Nothobranchius furzeri: one gene and its partner. The protein of the gene in region 2 purifies or fractionates together with the protein of the main gene of each other region. This does not show direct contact. Links are inferred from orthologs where the notes say so. Each region holds a gene or a part of one and is shown on either strand. Other genes may lie near its edges.

Evidence for each region.
Region 1: the proteins of H(+)/Cl(-) exchange transporter 4 (region 2) and tmem9 purify together in Homo sapiens (co-immunoprecipitation; 3 studies listed by BioGRID and IntAct, with this or other methods). This does not show direct contact. The link is inferred for Nothobranchius furzeri from reciprocal best matches to the Homo sapiens genes CLCN4 and TMEM9.

Annotation. Positions count from the first base shown.
Region 1 is NC_091755.1:26,873,824-26,878,086, reverse strand, and holds the start of tmem9 (proton-transporting V-type ATPase complex assembly regulator TMEM9), read right to left. Parts: upstream 3,096-4,263; 5' UTR 2,958-3,095; intron 2,782-2,957; 5' UTR 2,761-2,781; coding exon 2,671-2,760; intron 2,342-2,670; coding exon 2,250-2,341; intron 79-2,249; coding exon 1-78. UniProt on the Homo sapiens protein: Transmembrane protein that binds to and facilitates the assembly of lysosomal proton-transporting V-type ATPase (v-ATPase), resulting in enhanced lysosomal acidification and trafficking.
Region 2 is NC_091743.1:82,166,160-82,170,481, forward strand, and holds the start of H(+)/Cl(-) exchange transporter 4, read right to left. Parts: upstream 3,058-4,322; 5' UTR 2,898-3,057; coding exon 2,882-2,897; intron 2,809-2,881; coding exon 2,654-2,808; intron 2,581-2,653; coding exon 2,481-2,580; intron 2,273-2,480; coding exon 2,085-2,272; intron 2,015-2,084; coding exon 1,892-2,014; intron 1,805-1,891; coding exon 1,598-1,804; intron 1,533-1,597; coding exon 1,452-1,532; intron 1,383-1,451; coding exon 837-1,382; intron 764-836; coding exon 577-763; intron 511-576; coding exon 112-510; intron 39-111; coding exon 1-38. UniProt on the Homo sapiens protein: Strongly outwardly rectifying, electrogenic H(+)/Cl(-)exchanger which mediates the exchange of chloride ions against protons.

The DNA of each region.
Region 1 (4,263 bases), on a different chromosome or scaffold from region 2:
TTACATTCACATAACAAACAGTACGCTTCCACATCATGACCAGGAACTGGCATGGGCTCCACTACATGGAGGCACGTACTGTAAATACATGAAAACGTTACGTTCATTGGGCACATCACGGTTATAGAATATAAACAGATTAAAGTCGGGCTGGATTATATCTCTTTGGAACAAGAAAACAATTAATGAGGTCAAAATTTAAAAATGATTCTATCTTATTAAAGGAGTCATCACAAGTATCTACGTCATATTAGGTCATAAACATAATTTGTATTGGAAAAAAAAAATCAAAAAGTGCTTTTCTGACCCTTTTTTTTGTAAAGGACGTTTTCTCGCGAGAGCAAAGGCGATATTTTGGCTGTATGAAAAGGACATTAGAATAATGCAAATGAGTTGATTGGTGGAAGGAAGCAGGGGTGTTGACACCATATGTTTCGCTTCAGCATCTCTCTCCAAAATAAAGTGCCTGTGACGGATAAATTCTGCCTTACCGTTTGAATTTCAGGTAAGTTTCTCAGTGTTGGAATCTCCCCTCATTCTAGATGAATCCTCAATGCCATCTTCGCCTGATATAGCCCCAAAAGTTATAAAGCATTCTGGCTTAAAATGGCTAGCACAGACATCGAGAGTAGTGGGGAGAGTTTCAGGAACAGCCATCCACTTTCAGCTGCTTAGCCGGAGTCGGGTCACTGAGGCAGCAGCCTAAGCCGGGATGCCCAGACTTCCCTCTCTTCAGCTACTTGAGCCAGCTCTTCCGGGGGAATCTCAAGTTGTTCCCTGGCCAGTCGAGAGACATAGTCTCTCCAGCGTGTCTTGGGTCTCTTCCCAGTTGGACGTGCCCGGAAAACCTCATCAGGGAGGCGTCCAGGAGGCACCCTGACCAGATGCCCAAGCCACCTCAACTGGCTCCTCTCAATGTGGAGGAGCAGCAGATCTACTCTGAGTCCCTCCCGGATGACTGAGCTTCTCACCTTATCTCTAAGGGAGAGCCCAGACACCCTGCGGGGAAAACTAATTTTGGCTGTTTGTATCCGTGATCTCGTTCTTTCGGTCACTACCCAAAGCTTGTGACCGTAGGTGAGGGTGGGAACGTAGATCAACCAGTAAATCAAGAGCTTTGCCTTCCAGCTCAGCTATCTCCACCATGACAGACCAATACAACACCCGCATCACTGCAGACGCTGCACCAATCCGCCTATCGATCTCACGCTCCAGCGCTGTTAAAAATAAAAGAAATCCACAAGCTTCCCAGCTTCCCGTGACCGTTGAAACGACGTCAGTCCGAGACGTCCCGTCATGGTTAAAAAAATTAAACCACCGTGTTTTCTGGCAGTGAATTCAACGTTTTTCAGCGCATCTCATTTAGACGTCTAACAATAAAAATTTGAGCATCTTATTACTTTATTACAGTAAAAAACATATTTAAAAAAATTAAATAATTGCAATCTGAGTCAGAATCTCGTATGTCCCAGCCTGAATTTGAACCCGGGTTCTCTGTGTGTAAGTCGGGTGTCTTGCTAACTGAGCTCTCTTCGACAACTTTTGTTAACTGAAAAAAATGTCTATTACCAATAATGGTGTTAAAACCCAGCAAACATTTGGACCCTTGATCACAGCTGAAATTACGTCAGAGCGATAAAAGTTTAATATTTGAAATTACAAATTATTATTTTTATATTTTTAACGACGACTAGTTGTCTTTTCTGGCCGTGAATTCCACATATTTCACAGCCTTGCTGTCGGACTAATGTTTGCTGGGTTGGTCTGATTTTGGTAAAACAAACACATTTGTGTGGAGTTTGCAGTCAACAACTGAGCAGCTCACATGTGAAACACACTTCAACATTTTCCGTTCTCCTGATTTCAGTAATGGCGGTGCTCGACTGAATTTGAGGGGAAGCAGAGCAGTGCGGGCTATAGCGGTGTTGCTCTGCGTTGTCCATATATGGTACTGTACATCCTGCCTTTGTGACAACATCAAGGCCAGAACTCAAGGGGCTCAGGGGATGCACCTGGGCTGGTTGAAGAAACCAAGAGTAAAAAAATGATCAGTGTTAAATGTTAAATTATCGGCTTCCCGGCCAGTGAAAAATAATTAGGAAATCATTATATTTACAGTTTTTCAAGTGGAAAAGTGAAAACTTCAGGTGATGACTCCTTTAATATAAAATAATTAGAACAATACCTTCCTGCAGGCTGCTCAAACTCACCCTCCTAAAAGGATACTTTGTCGCAATAAAGTTCCTTACCAATCTTTCTGGGTGACATTTTTGTTATAGATGTGTCCAGAAATGTTTCTGTAGGGTGGGCAGATGCACTTGCAGCGCACATCCTCAAAGTTCTGCAACAGTCAAGAAAAGTTAATTAAAGATTGGGTCTTCTCATTGATCCACGATGCATTTTAAGATATTTTGCACATATTTGACTGCACAAGATGCAACATTGTTTTTAAGGATGTGACCTTAATATAGTGGTAGATTGAAGATAAAATCACACACATATAAAGGTTTTCTCTGACAAGCACTGATTTATGATTTTGCTCTAATATGCAATGAAAACATAAAGGGTAGATCTGTTATAATGTAACACAAGTTACTGAGTTGACACTGAAAATCAAAATAATACAAAAACAAGCTCTAACAGGACATAAAATGGTCGGTTTGTTTTTACCTTGGCCTGAACAGGAACAGCAGTTTCCAGCAGCAGCACGGTCACTAATGTGGCTGGAACAAAGACCCAGGATCCACCTCGGCCGGGCATTTCAACTAAAAGGACAACAGGCTGCACGACGACAGCACAAATGACCACAGTGTCAAAACAAAACATACAACTAGCAAGCTAGCACCTAGCCAAGTTAGCTAACAGGCTAACACAAAAAATGAAACAAATATCACGTCAAACGTTGACTCTGAAATTAAAATAAAATGCTATTGCGTATAATGGCATATTTAACTTACGCTGTAACAGCAGAAAAGCTTGTTTTATGAACATCCAGAATCCTGCTACATGCGGTTTGGTTGCAGCTGAAAAAAAAAATCGTCAAGTTGACTCTAAACTTCCGGATTTCGGAATCATCACTGACCTCCCATGAACACGGGGTAATGGCGCCTCCTGCTGGTGAAATGTTAAAATAACTTTGAAATTCTTAAACTTTATTTAACAAAACAGAAAAGAACAAAATAATAAATTCCAAGAACAACACACGAATCCAAACATTCACACCCCCTTCAAGATGTCAAATTAAAAGAGAGGAACACCCTCTGGTGGGAGGTATATTAATCAAATATACAAAAAATAAAAATAAAAACATTAAAATAACAATAGTTACAAAAAATTAATAATAATAATAAAAAAGAAGATACAGAGGGAACAAGATGAAATTTAAACGATTTATAAAACCATTCAAACACGGAATACCAAAACAACAGACATTTTATATTAAAACTAAATGAGTTCAAGAAGGAATACGCTGCCAAATGAAGGTGATTGATGGCCACATACGCTGTCTATAAGGGATTTATGTGACTAATCTTTTAGTATCTGGCTTTCAAGAATAAGGATTTTTTTCCACTCCCCTGTGGAAATAAGCTGCTTTCTTGCGTTTAGTACGCTCAAATGTTATTTGAACCCAAACAAAATGACAAAACAACCTAAATTTGCCACAAGAGGGCGACATTTGTTCAGCAGTGTGGCATTCATAAATGAGAGCAATAAAGGTGGCACTTTTTCTTTTCACCCACAACTACTATTCACTTATCCACAGTTACATTCGCTGCAAAACCACTTTTTAAATTAATTTAGCAGTTTGTTTTCTTGTTCAAATGAGCAAACATGTATCTGGATCAACTGAACAGAAAATAATGTTTTCATTCATCTCCAAGATAAAAATTTACACGGTGTTCATTATTGCTGCAGGTTATAAAATAATCAAGGTAGACAAAAAATAAATGTGTAATAAAAATACAAAAATCCATAAATAACAAGGAATAAAATGCACAGAGACCACAATCATAGACTGAAAGTGCTACACACACATAACAACAAAGCAAAACAAAATTACTCCAGTATTCATACAGGTGTGACTTTGAATACATTAAATATATAAAAGAAGAGAAAACTGCAAAACCACCTACAACACAATAAGCATATCAGGTTTTTAAAAAACCAAATGAACCACATAGTTTAGCATTATATGGACCGGCAATTACCTGGATGACAAGCATTAAATATAAGTAACAACTATCATAAAAATGTTAACAAAAA
Region 2 (4,322 bases):
GCTGCTCACCACGCCGTCCTGCTTCTGACGGGCGTTCCCTGAGGATGGACAGGAAGGAGGACGCTGTTACTCGGTCTCTTGTCCCGGAAGCAGGTTTTGTTAAAGACTTACTGATGGCGAGCGTGAGGTCCCGGCGCTGGACGAATCCGATGAGCCTCTCCGACTCCCGGGAAACGACCACGGGGAAACCGTTATAGTCCGTATCCTTGATGAGCGTCTCCACGTCCTCCACTGTGGTGCTGTCCTGCGTGAGGACAGCCAGAGGAGGGTCATTCCGGCGTGGCCTCATCACGTCGGTGGCCAGGGTGCGGTGGGTGAACTCATCCCGGACGTCCAGGTAGGGATAGCCGTTGAGCTGGATGTGGGACTCGTAGATCCCCTCCTTCCCGAAGGCGTCGGCGACCCACTTACTGGTGACGGCGGCGGCCATCAGCGGAACGATGTACTCCAGCCCACCCGTCAGCTCGAACATGATCACCACTAGAGACACCGTCATCCTGGTCACGCCCCCTGATCAGAACCACAACATTAATACAGGAACCAGAACCGGCTCAGCTCTGCGTCCGATCTGCTCACCCAGGCAGGCAGCAGCTCCCACCATGGCGTAGAGTCCCGGCGTGACGCAGTCGGCGCCGGGCCGACACCAGTTCTTAAAGATGATCCAGTCATGGTGGTGGTAGGCCATCTGCTCCACGGCGATCCCGACGATCCGACCCGCGATCGCTCCCACCGCCATGCTGGGAATGAAGAGGCCCGACGGGATCTGAGGAGGAACCAGAACCACGGTCACTAGAACTCATCTGGGCCCAAACGTTGTGAAACAGCAAAGTTCTGACCTTCATGCCGAAGGTGAAGATGGTGATGAGGATCTTGAAGACGAGAGCGAGGGCAAGCTGCCACAGGGCGTTGTAGACACCGGGCCCGGCGGGTCGGTCCGGGATGTCATCTACGGGTCGGCTCATGTTGGGATTGTTGACGTAGTCGCAGAGCTGGGAGGACTCCAGCGCTCCACAGTCGTTGAACAGCTCTGAAATCAACTCGCTGGTGCTGCGGCGGGTGTACGGGTTTGGGTACGCCAGAACCGCCGTGATCCCCGTCACCACAATCACCTCCAGAACCGGGTACTTCCCCAGCAGGGTCGTCTTCCTCCGCCGGCACCAGGCGATGTTGGCCCGGATGAACAGGGTTCCCCACAGTCCCCCGAACACCCCCAGCAGGATGAAGGGAACCAGCTCGGCCATGTACCAGGGGGTGTGGTACTCCACGTAGAACAGAACCAGGCGGCTGTTCCCAAACGGGTTTATGGACCGTAGTGTGAACGCCGCCACCAGCGCCGCGAAGAACGACCTCCACAGAGTCTTCAGAGGGAAGTAGTAGCTCACCTGGAGGACAAGAGAAAGCTTTACCACAGAACCAGAACCTTACACGGATCAGATCGGATCAGAACCAACCTCCTCCAGGCTGAACAGAACCCCTCCAATAGGCGCTCCGAAGGCCACGGACACACCTGCTGCTGCCGCCGCCGACAACACCTGTGGAGACAAACACAGATTATTATCCAGAACCAGAACCGGGACCAGAACCTGCTGCAGCGGACCTCTCTGCGTTTGCCCTCGTTCTTGCTGTACTTGGAGAAGAGGCTGCAGAAGAGGTTTCCACAGCAACAGGCCACGTGGACCAGAGGACCCTCCTTCCCCAGACTCAGACCAGAGGACACGGCCAGAACCAGCGTGACGGTCTTTATCAGCAGGGTCCACTTCCCCAGGTATCCCCGGATGATGAAGCCACTGAGGATCGTTTTGATCTGGAGAAGGAGAACAAACCCGGCTCATCAAAAGCTCATGGTTTGTTTCTTCACGTGAAAGTTCTGTAAGCACCCTCAGCTCAGTACCTCTGGGATTCCTGACCCGCACGCGTATGGAGCGAAGACTCGGACCAGTGACACGGCCAAGAAGGAGAACAGCAGTGCCCACAGGATGTACAGGAAGTAGTTCAGCACGTACGCTCCAGCTCCCTGGAATCAGAAACCCAATAAAGTCCAGAACTTTATGCATCAAATCACCTCAAATCAGGTCAGTCCTCACATCTGTGTGACCCGTCATTAGCTCTGCCCATTTCTGCCACTGTGGACACTTGTCCCGGTCATCGAAGGTGGTCTCATTGGAGGTCCAGCAGCACTGCTCGTGGCTGTACCAGAAGGCTGACAGACACACGCCCTCCTTCAGGTCCGTCATCCAGTCCACGGCCAGGTCGATCACACCTGCCAGCGTACCTGAGGACAGCCACAGTTACCTGCTACCACCTGACCCGTGCCTGCTCCAGCTGATGCAGCTCTACAGCTTCATCTGGAGTTACCGAAATAAAAGTGTAAACTTTATGATTCCATCAGAAAGCAGATCCGTTTGCTTCCTAGTAGTCTGGAATAAAACCCCCATCACTTCTGGATCCAGATGTGGACCCTGACCTGGATCTGGACTGACCTGACAGGAGGCCGATGAGCAGCATCACCACCCATCCGGACCAGGCGTCCAACAGAGACTTGATCAGCTCCCAGATGGACTCCCTGCTCTTGCTGGTGATCTGGAGGAGAAGCCGGAAGTGAGACACCTGCAGCAGTAGGATCCCCCCCACCACCACCAAACGCCTCACGGACCTTCCTGTGGCGGTCCGTGTCTCTGGACTTCTCCCGCAGCCAGTCAATCGTGTGGAAGTCTTCATACGTGCCCACGTCCGGGAAGGGTTCGTCCAGCAGGTCCATTAAGGTTCCGGCTCCGTTCATGTCCTCCGTGGGGGTGGGAGCGCTGATACCTGTCCGAGTGCAACATCATCGCTGTGTTTACACCCGACATTAGCATCTTTAGCTCCATTAAACACGTCTTACCTTCAGCGGCCTCCATATTTCTGTCTGTTATTTCCACTGCAGACCCAAAACGTTTATGGTAAATTATTAAGTCACATAAAAAAGAATAAACCAGGCATTTTACCGGATATGTACAGAAAAACAACCAACAGCGAGCACGAAGCGTCGCAGACTGATGCTCCAGTCGATCTCGCGATACTTCTGAAATGCCGCGTTGTTTGAAGTCGAAGATCGTCTATGGGCTTGTTCGAGTTGAGCAGCACCTCACCAGGAAAATAGACGAGAGCAGACTGACGCAGCAGGGGAAGTGGCTGAAAGCCGGCATTTAAGCCAAACAGATTTTCCTACATGTGTAGCTCGCGGTTGATGACGGATGAAGATATCGCGTTAGAGTTCATATAATTTTTCATTTTAATTCTGGTGCCTGTTAGCAACCGAAACACATCCTCATGTGCTTGCAGGGCCAGATTAACACTTTGTTGTACCCTGGGCAACAACATTCAAGGACCCCATCATCACGACCCAAGGACCACCATGAAATGGTCACATACAGAATATTTTACTGTAATATGCAGTAAATATACTCAATACTTGAATGCCTGACATCATGTAACCCGCTCAAGGTAACCTTTGGCCCTCTCTTCATTGGTCAGTCTGCATGGGGGGGGGGGGGGGGGGGTCATTTTGCCTTGGCCCCCAAAATGTCTTGAAACGGCCCTGGGTGTGTGATTGAGTTTTGAATGTGATCTGAATTGTATCAAATGTATAAATATTACATGTGCGAACTTATTGTTTTATACAAGTAAAAACATGTAGTGGAGATAAATCTACCTACATTTTACTTAGTTTTCTTGTTTTTATTTAACTATTTCCTGTCTTGTCTGTCTCTCATCTTCCTGCATCTCCTCTAAACTCTCCAGAAAAACTGCTGCCTGGATTCTTACTTTTTCACCTCATCAGTTACTTTTGAGCAGATCAAAGGGATCTCCTGACCGCAAAGCGGAGTGCGCGATTCGATGCTGCTTCAGTGAGGTAAAATCACCACAGCACACGATGAGCTCCGCAGTGGCAGAGCGCTTCAGGCACAAATAAGACAGAAAGTAGAGAACATGTGCAGACATGAATGATCGTGTGTTAATTATAGTTTTTGGGTTGCGCCACTTTGAGAATGGACCGTGCGCTGGACGCAGCAGCCTGGAGCGCTGAACACCAACGATCATCGCTATATGTGCTCTCTGCTCAAAAGAGTCCATAAATGATGTAATATAGGTGGAAAACGTTTTATCCGGCTCCCCTGGATGTGTAGGATATCCAGCTCCCCCATAATTTGATCCCTGCTCCTGGATGAAAAACCGGACATTTTCATCAATACAAGAACCCCCCGGACGCCCGGACAGAGAGTGAAAAGTGGACATATCAGGGGAAAAGAGGACGTATGGTCACCCTAGTTTAATATAAAGCG